Linked DNA regions of Sus scrofa. The protein of the gene in region 1 purifies or fractionates together with the protein of each later gene. This does not show direct contact. Links are inferred from orthologs where the notes say so. Each region holds a gene or a part of one and is shown in the gene's direction. Other genes may lie near its edges. The genes, in order: ATP11C and TMEM30A.

Region 1 (3,821 bases):
ACTTGCTGTTCTTACCCATTCACATGCACATATGCATTCTTTTGCCAGTGGTGAGGTGTCTGAGGAAGTGGTCTACCATGGGCCTTGACCTCAGAACTACCCTTTTTTAACTTTTTTAAATTAGCATTTTGCTTTTATAAGGATGGAATGTCTTTCTTAATGGTCAGCTGTGTCCACTTTCCTGGAAGTACATGACTGGTCTGTAAAGCTGGACTTGTACTAGCATTCTGTAAGGCTAGCCTCAAGTTTCCAGTAAAAACCATCAAGCTACTGTTTTAAAAGCTAACATGTATAGTCTTTCAAAATGATTTTATCTTGTTTGAGCTTGAGTTTGGTCCTTGACATCTGTAGATGCCACATGTGAACTTTAGACCTTGATTGACAACATCCTGAAAGAGAATTCAAATGCAGCTCCTTGACACAAGCACAGTCCTCTGTGACTCATTGCAAGGAAGTATGTTTTGACAGAGGTGCATGTTGTAAACTCTACGATATTAGTTGTGTCCGTATTGGTCCTAAAACATGGTGAATGTTGTCCTGACAGATTAAAGGTCAAGATGTCTCGCTGCATTTAGGTGAGCATTCCAAGGCAGGCTCAGGATACACAGCAGCTGGGTGGGAGACACCGCCTTAATAGCTACGTGTTACTAAGATCCTAGTACCAGAGTTCCCATCGTGACTCAGTGGAAATGCATCTGACTGGCATCCATGAGGACGCAGGTTCAGTCCCTGGCCTTGCTCAGAGGGTTAAGAATCCTGTGTTGCCGTGAGCTGTGGTGTAGGTTGCAGACGCGGCTCGGATCCCAAGTTGCTATCGCTGTGGTGTAGGCCTGCGGCTGTAGCTCCGATTCGACCCCTAACCTGGGAACCTCCATATGCCACAGGTGTGGCCCTAAACAGACAAAAAAATTTTAAAATCCCAATACCTGTCTTGAAATTCTAAGTCAAGTACTCTTGTTCTTTATTTTAGGAGACATTCTTCTCTTTTGTAAAGGAGCCGACTCAGCAGTTTTCCCCAGGGTGCAAAATCATGAAATTGAGTTAACTAAAGCCCATGTGGAACGTAATGCAATGGTGAGACTATACCTTTCCCCCTAATAGAAAGAGAAATGCTAGAGATGACTACGTTTATGGATTACTATTTTCAAGGACTGTTTAAACGAATTTTAGCTTATTTTGTCATCTTTTTTTGTATTTTTTCTTGATTTTTTAGGGCTGTACCTGCAGCATATGGAAGTTCCCAGGCTAGGGGTCGCATCAGAGTTGCACCTCCAGGCCTACACCAGAGCCACAGCAATGTCAGATCCGAGCCGCGTCTGTGACCTACACCACCACAGCTCATGGCAATGCTGTATCCTTAACCCACTGGGCAAGGCCAGGGAATCGAACCTGCATCCTCATGCATACTAGTCGGGTTCATAACCCACTGAGCCACAACAGGAACTCCCTCCTTATTTTTATATAAAACACCCTATTGCAAGTTTCTGTTTAGAATTTGTAGCTTTTGAAGATTCTTGAAATCTTTATGTTCTCCTCTTTAAAAATATTTTTTAAATTTTTTACCCCAAGAGGCATTATTTTGTTATTCTGAACCTAATTGGATATTAACCTATTGAATATTATGCAGCGTGTTCTTTTTTTTCTTTCTTTTTTAACTAAAAATGTGTCTGTTTCTCTTTTGTATGGTAAAGCAAGAGTCTTTAATGGGTGTTTTGTTTTTATTTATTTGGATAAGTCACGATCTCTTACTTTACTTTTAGGATGGGTATCGGACACTTTGTGTAGCCTTCAAAGAAATTGCTCCAGATGATTATGAAAAAATTAACAGACAACTCATAGAGGCGAAAATGGCCTTACAAGACAGAGAAGAAAAAATGGAAAAGGTTTTTGATGATATTGAGACAAACATGAATTTAATTGGAGCCACTGCAGTGGAAGACAAGTAACTAGAAAATGATATTGTTATTTTAATGACCAATCATTTAAGATGGTATCTATCCAAATTGATAACTTATTCTCAAATTTTAAAATCTTTGATTCAGCTTTGTGAGTACACCAGATTTTGAACTGTTTGTGGGAATGATTTTCAAGTTAAATATTTGTGGCTTAGGAGAATGAATTCGTCATCTCTGAGGTCTTTTGAATACTTACTAAGCCATGAATTTATGCAGATATTTATGAAAGAGTCTTACTATGTGTAGAAAGCTTTGTGCTAGGGGTATCGTTTGAGTTGGTACCTGGTAGAGTCGGTACAATTTTGACAGACTAGAGCATGATTTTGCATACTTTAAAATAATTTGCTCTAAATATACAGGCTGAGCTCTGCTGGGCATGATTATAGGGCTCCAGAATTGATACGCTTGAAAAAATAAGTCTTAGATTCTGTTTTAGGAGTCTTCTAGAAGTTATGAATGTAAACTGTGACGCTTAACCCAAACAAGAATTTGTAAACCTATATTTAGCCGAGTTGGAAAGTATTGGAATTCTAATAGAATTCATTTTTTTCTAATTTCATTGTTGTTCTCTGGCCAAAAGGAACACAGAATATCGTTCTTCTATCCTTGCCTCTCAGAATTATGCTTAAATTCTCTTTCAGAATGGCTGGCTTTCCTATACTTCAAGCTCCTCAGAGATGGGGATTTGCTAACTTCCCTTGGTATCGCATTAGAATGTGTTTGCCCCTTTCAGTTTTGAGCCATGTCAAGTATTTGTATGATGGGATATAAAATGTAATGAAATATGTTAAGTGAATAAGAACATTTGTTGAGTTTCTGAACATTTTAGCTGAGTGATGATTCTTAATTCTGTCGTTGGTTACCTCAAGAGATGTCATGAACTTTCCAGATCTCATTGTTTAAAATGTTACTTTAATCACAATGCCAGAAAGTGTGTGCTTAGAGAGAGTGGGAGGATATATAAGAAAACCAACTGTGATAACACGTCTGGACTCCAGAATTGCTATGAATTATAAAAATATTCTTTCACAAGCCTTCTTGCAGAATCTCTATGTCAGGAATTTTTGAAGATAACAAGGTTTTCTTTGTGTTCTCAGGCTACAGGATCAAGCTGCTGAGACCATTGAAGCTTTGCACGCAGCAGGTCTGAAAGTCTGGGTGCTTACTGGGGACAAGATGGAGACAGCCAAATCCACCTGCTATGCCTGCCGCCTTTTCCAAACCAGCACCGAGCTCTTGGAACTGACCACCAAAACCATCGAAGAAAGTGAAAGGAAAGAAGATCGATTACATGAGTTGTTGATTGAATATCGTAAGAAGTTGCTGCATGAATTTCCTAAAAGTACTAGAAGCCTTAAAAAGTAAGAAAGTGCATAGATTCATTATATTTATGCATTGGTACAGATGTAAATCACAGCTGTTCATGCAGAAGTCTCCATTTTCTGTAATTTATTATTCTTTGTTTGCAGGTGCTTTATTTCCTGTAAGTTAGAACCTTCCCTGAGGACTTGGCTAGTGACCCATTTGAGATTATTTGGCCCTCTCCAACTCTCCTTTCATTTAAAAGAAAACCTTGCACTTCTCAAGCTTTAGAAAAGTGGTTCACTTTCTAAATGTTTAGGGTCCGGGTATTTATCAGTACTATTCTGGCTTGGTCTGTGTTAAAAAATATTCCTTTCCATGATCTCTTAAATTGAATGTAATAAAATCAGTCTCTAAAACAGTTTCCATGCACATTGAGGTCCTGGAGCCATTTTCTGTGTGGATTTTCGTGCCCCAGTACCCAAAGGAGACCAAATACTTAATAACATGGGCACTCGACTGCTTTCAACAAGCTGCTTAGGAAGAACTCGCAGAACCTAAGCT
Region 2 (4,555 bases), on another chromosome or scaffold:
ACACCACAGCTCACAGCAATGCCAGATCCTTAACCCTCTGAGTGAGGCCAGGAATGGAACCTGTAACCTCATGATTCCTAGTTGGATTCGTTTCCGCCGTACCACGACGGAAACTCCTCATATTGCATTTCTTTATGGCCTTTTGCCCCTCCTGTTCAGTGAGAACAGAAATACCTGAGAAATGAGATATTATATAGCCCTTAAGTTTAGATATTTTTCCTTGTAAACTGTGTTGGCTTTTACTACTAACATTTAACTTGTGGAATCAGTTCTTCAGGATAATAAAAACAATTTATTTTGTGATTCAGAACATCTGAGTAAAGTGTCTGTGTTTTATAGAATGATACCAGTGAATTGCAAGCAACTGAGTGCTAACTTTTTAAGTTGTATTTTAAAAATCGATTAATCAGACATGGAAAAGTCTTCCTATACACCCTTCAGATTATCCTGTGCATTCATTTGATGGACGAAAACGGATGATCTTGAGCACTATTTCATGGATGGGAGGAAAAAATCCATTTTTGGGGATTGCTTACATCGCTATTGGATCCATCTCCTTCCTTCTGGGAGTTGTACTGCTAGTAATTAATCATAAATATAGAAACAGTAGTAATACTGCTGACATTACCATTTAATTTTATATTCTGAAAACAAATTTACTGCATGTGCATCAAGGCCAGTCCTATTCAACCTTGCTTTCAAATGCTGATGTCTGGTTAGTATGTCATTTTTGAAGTTGGCACATAACTTTTTTTTAAAGCAATCTTTGTCCTTTGCTTCTTCCTTATGGATGACTTATGAAAATATATGACGGGTATAAGAGAAATTAACTATAGTGATCATATCAACACTGTAACTGCTGAAATGGCATTCTGATGTTTGCATTCTGTTGGGACAGGCCGTATGATGCATAGAGCCTCTTTGAAGTGAAACGCGTCTGCTGCTTAAATGTTTATACTGTGTCGATAATATTATATTGACATGTGATACTGTATATGTGTGCCTATTGTGTGAAGAGCGGATTACAATATGTATGAGAATAATGACTTGCTAACTTTCAGGATTCAAGAGTTACAAAAAGATGAAGAAAGACCAAATCTAAATAAAATACTTCATCATTTTCATGTGTCGTGTGTACAGGCTTCAAGGACCATCTTTGTTGAGGTGGTCCACATATTCACTTTACCCAGTATAGTTCTTTGTTGAGCTTCTTTTAACTTTGATTTCAAAGGGCATGGTTACCCGTCTAGCATAGGACTTAATGCTTTTGTCTGAAGAGGTCAGGTAGGTCTCAGGAGAATTTAAAATTCCTCTTTCCATTTGGTTAAGATACTGCAGTCAGGAAACCCAGCTCACTTGATGTTTTATGTGTGAACATTTCCTTTGAAGCTTGCACTTCCTAAGGGGTGAAAGAATGTAGGTGAGCTGGGGAAACTTCTTGGCAGATCTTTACCTTCTGCCTCAACTGTAAACCGTATGTAAATGTTCAAAGGAGACTCTTTTCATTCTTGTGGTATTTAACATTCAGAAATTTTCTTCAGCATTGGAAATACCTCAGGCTGTTTTTATTTTGCAGGTAAGTGTTTTAACTTAAGTGTACCAATAATTGTATACCAGAAATTTTGGCGAATAATAACCTTCATTTCTTCCATATGTCTTTCAGTTTTTGCTGATAGGTCAAATATGAACGTGTATGCACATTCTCTTTAGTTAAGGCACCAGTTATTATGGTTGGTATTTCTAAGATGTACTTTAAAAAGAAGTTCTTTAAATTTCCTGAATAATTTCTGGAGATTTTGGAGTATGTATATGATTATAGTATGCGTCTCTGTGTGTGTGTGTGTGTGTGTATGTGTGTATATATATGTATATGCTTGAAGTTACTTTATTTTCTATTAACTGGAATTATTTTAATATTCTTTATTGAATAAACGCTGTAATTTGTTTGCTGTGGAACTTATTCTTGAATGTAAACTTACTTTTTCACATGCATGAAAGGTATTTCTTAATCAGAGGTGGCTTAATTGCATTGAAATGGCTATTTTTTTTTAACTAAAATATCTCATATGTTTGTATAAATGAATGCTGTTTGACTTCAGAGTTCGTAATGGTTTCCTTTGGTTATATTTTAAATCAAAAGGTCTGGGTAATGTATCAATTTTGATTAATATATGTTTTTTTAAAACAAAAAGAAAACCTCAAAAAATAATGTAATGATTAATAGTAGAAATGTGCCACACTTCTTAAGTTTTGTATAACATGAAATTCAGCTAAAACAACTTGCAGTTTATAATGACTTGTAACAGGTAGACTATTACTTGCATGAGGTACTTAATGTATGATTGATTATCCTGCAGTGTCTGAGTATATAGGGTATTCTTTATGTGAAACTATTCTTTTGTCTTGTCAGTCCTTCAGAATATGGCTGTTTATTCTGGTAATAGAGCCTACCGCACATGGCAGTTGACTTTGTGGAGTCACCACTGGGGGAAGGGTCTTCTAGTCTTTGCAGATTGAGTCTGTGCTGTTAAGATGGACTGCCAGCCTGTATCTCTTTCTCACTGTGGGATCAGAGGTGCCGCTGCAGAATAGCTGAAGAGTGCTTCCAGTGCTTCCTCATCTGTGGTGAAGATGGAGTCCTAAAACATATTTGGAGTTTTATCAGTTTTACAAGTACATTGATGGCCTAAATTCTCCTTGTCTCCTGCCATTTGAGCTCTGAGGGATTCCTGTTGCTAAATACGAAGAATGTGGAACATTCATATGGCCTCTGTGACTGAGGAAGGAATACATTTCCTCCTTACCAGCTTCATGCTCATCTTTTGGAAACACTGATGTCATACTCAACTTCCAAAGAATCATATTGTGTTTTAAGACAGCTAGGTTAAGTAGAAGGCAGTGAAGAATGCACTAACTTGGAGGAAATATTTTGATAGACAAAGTTCCCAATTGAAGGAATTATTTAATAAGTAAAAGCTAAGAAATTTCTTTGAAATCGTAAAGCAGTTTAAAAATAAATTAGTTAAAATAACTATACTACCTAACAATTATTCAACCAAGTGGAGAGTCAAGTGAATATTATTTGTTTATTGGGTTGGTAACAGTTTATTTCTAAGCTTGATTCTGTTGAAAGATAACCTTCTGTTAGTATGTTCTATATTAATAAAAATGAACACAATTTTGCTATGTTCAAGTGTCTTGCTAAAATAACAGTGCCCCAGTGTTGTTGCTAGTAATATTTAGGACTAAATTTTAGCTCAGGGTCAGTAAGTCCAAATTTTAACATTTTCATGCTTAGATTTTATTGCCATATGTATAAATATTAATCATTCTGACAGCATTAACTGCAGGGTTTACTGAGAAACATCTGTTCTTACCAGGAAGTAGTCAGATTGTAATCTCAGTTATGGGCAGACAGGCTAAATTTGGCAGTAGATAAGGGAAAATTTCTGGTAAATAGAAAATGTATAACTCATGGAGAGACAAGGATGATGAAAATAATGAAGTGGGTGGAGATATGAAAAGCCAGACTAGGAAAGGGGTGTCTGAAAAGTAGGGTTCAGCCTGCTCACCTCTTATCTTCATGGAAACACTGCCTTAAAATTACTTTATGGTCCTTTGTTGGTTTAGCTGCAAAGTTATATTCTTTGTGAACATGGATATTTTGAGGGGAGGGTGGAGGGAGTAAGGAAGTGCTGTTTCAAGAAGAATTTGGTGCATAGAGTTTTGTTGTATCTGGATAAACTAGTAAAGTGTATTAGAGCCTCTTTTTAGCCCATGCCCCATTCAATAAACATAAAAATCACATTTCCCCAGATGTCATTTGAAATTTCAAAATAAATATCTTGTCTAAAATCAGATCATGGTGACCTTATTTGCTTTTATATATCTAAAATTTATTAAAGTAACATGTGCATAGTTTTAAAAATTTTTTTCTAAAGGCCTTATGATGAAAACCAGTGGTCCCTGTCCCAACTTTTTTTTTTTATGATTTTTATTTTTTCCATTACAGTTGATTCATAGTGTTATGTCAATTTCTACTGTACAGCCAAGTGACCCAGTCATTCATATATTCTTTTTCTCACAATATCCTCCATGTTCCATCACAAGTGACTGGATATAGTTCCCAGTGCTATGCAGCAGAATCTCATTGCTTATCCACTCCAAATGCAGTAGTTTGCATCTTTTAACATCAGATTCCCAGTCCAGCCCACTCCCTCCCCCTCCCACCCCCCTTGGCAACCACAAGTCTATTTTCCAAGTCCATCAGTTTCTTTTCTGTGGAAAGGTTCATTTGTGCTGTATATTAGATTCTAGATATAAGTGATATCATATGGTATTTGTCTTTCTCTCTCTGTCTTACTTGACTTAGTATGAGAATCTCTAGTTCTATCCATATTGCTGCAAGTGGCATTATTGTGTTCCTTATGGCTGAGTAGTATTCCATTGTGTATATGAACCACATCTTCTTAGTCCATTCATCTGTCCATGGACATTTGGTTGTTCCCATGTCTTGGCTATTGTGAATAGTGCTGCAATGAACATGCATTGTGCA

Evidence for each region.
Region 2: the proteins of ATP11C (region 1) and TMEM30A purify together in Homo sapiens (co-immunoprecipitation; 4 studies listed by BioGRID and IntAct, with this or other methods). This does not show direct contact. The link is inferred for Sus scrofa from reciprocal best matches to the Homo sapiens genes ATP11C and TMEM30A.

What each region holds. Positions count from the first base shown.
Region 1 is NC_010461.5:114,443,104-114,446,924, reverse strand, and holds part of ATP11C (phospholipid-transporting ATPase IG), read left to right. Parts: intron 1-970; coding exon 971-1,074; intron 1,075-1,760; coding exon 1,761-1,942; intron 1,943-3,052; coding exon 3,053-3,316; intron 3,317-3,821. UniProt on the Homo sapiens protein: Catalytic component of a P4-ATPase flippase complex which catalyzes the hydrolysis of ATP coupled to the transport of aminophospholipids, phosphatidylserines (PS) and phosphatidylethanolamines (PE), from the outer to the inner leaflet of the plasma membrane.
Region 2 is NC_010443.5:90,684,147-90,688,701, forward strand, and holds the end of TMEM30A (cell cycle control protein 50A), read left to right. Parts: intron 1-441; coding exon 442-635; 3' UTR 636-3,858; downstream 3,859-4,555. UniProt on the Homo sapiens protein: Accessory component of a P4-ATPase flippase complex which catalyzes the hydrolysis of ATP coupled to the transport of aminophospholipids from the outer to the inner leaflet of various membranes and ensures the maintenance of asymmetric distribution of phospholipids.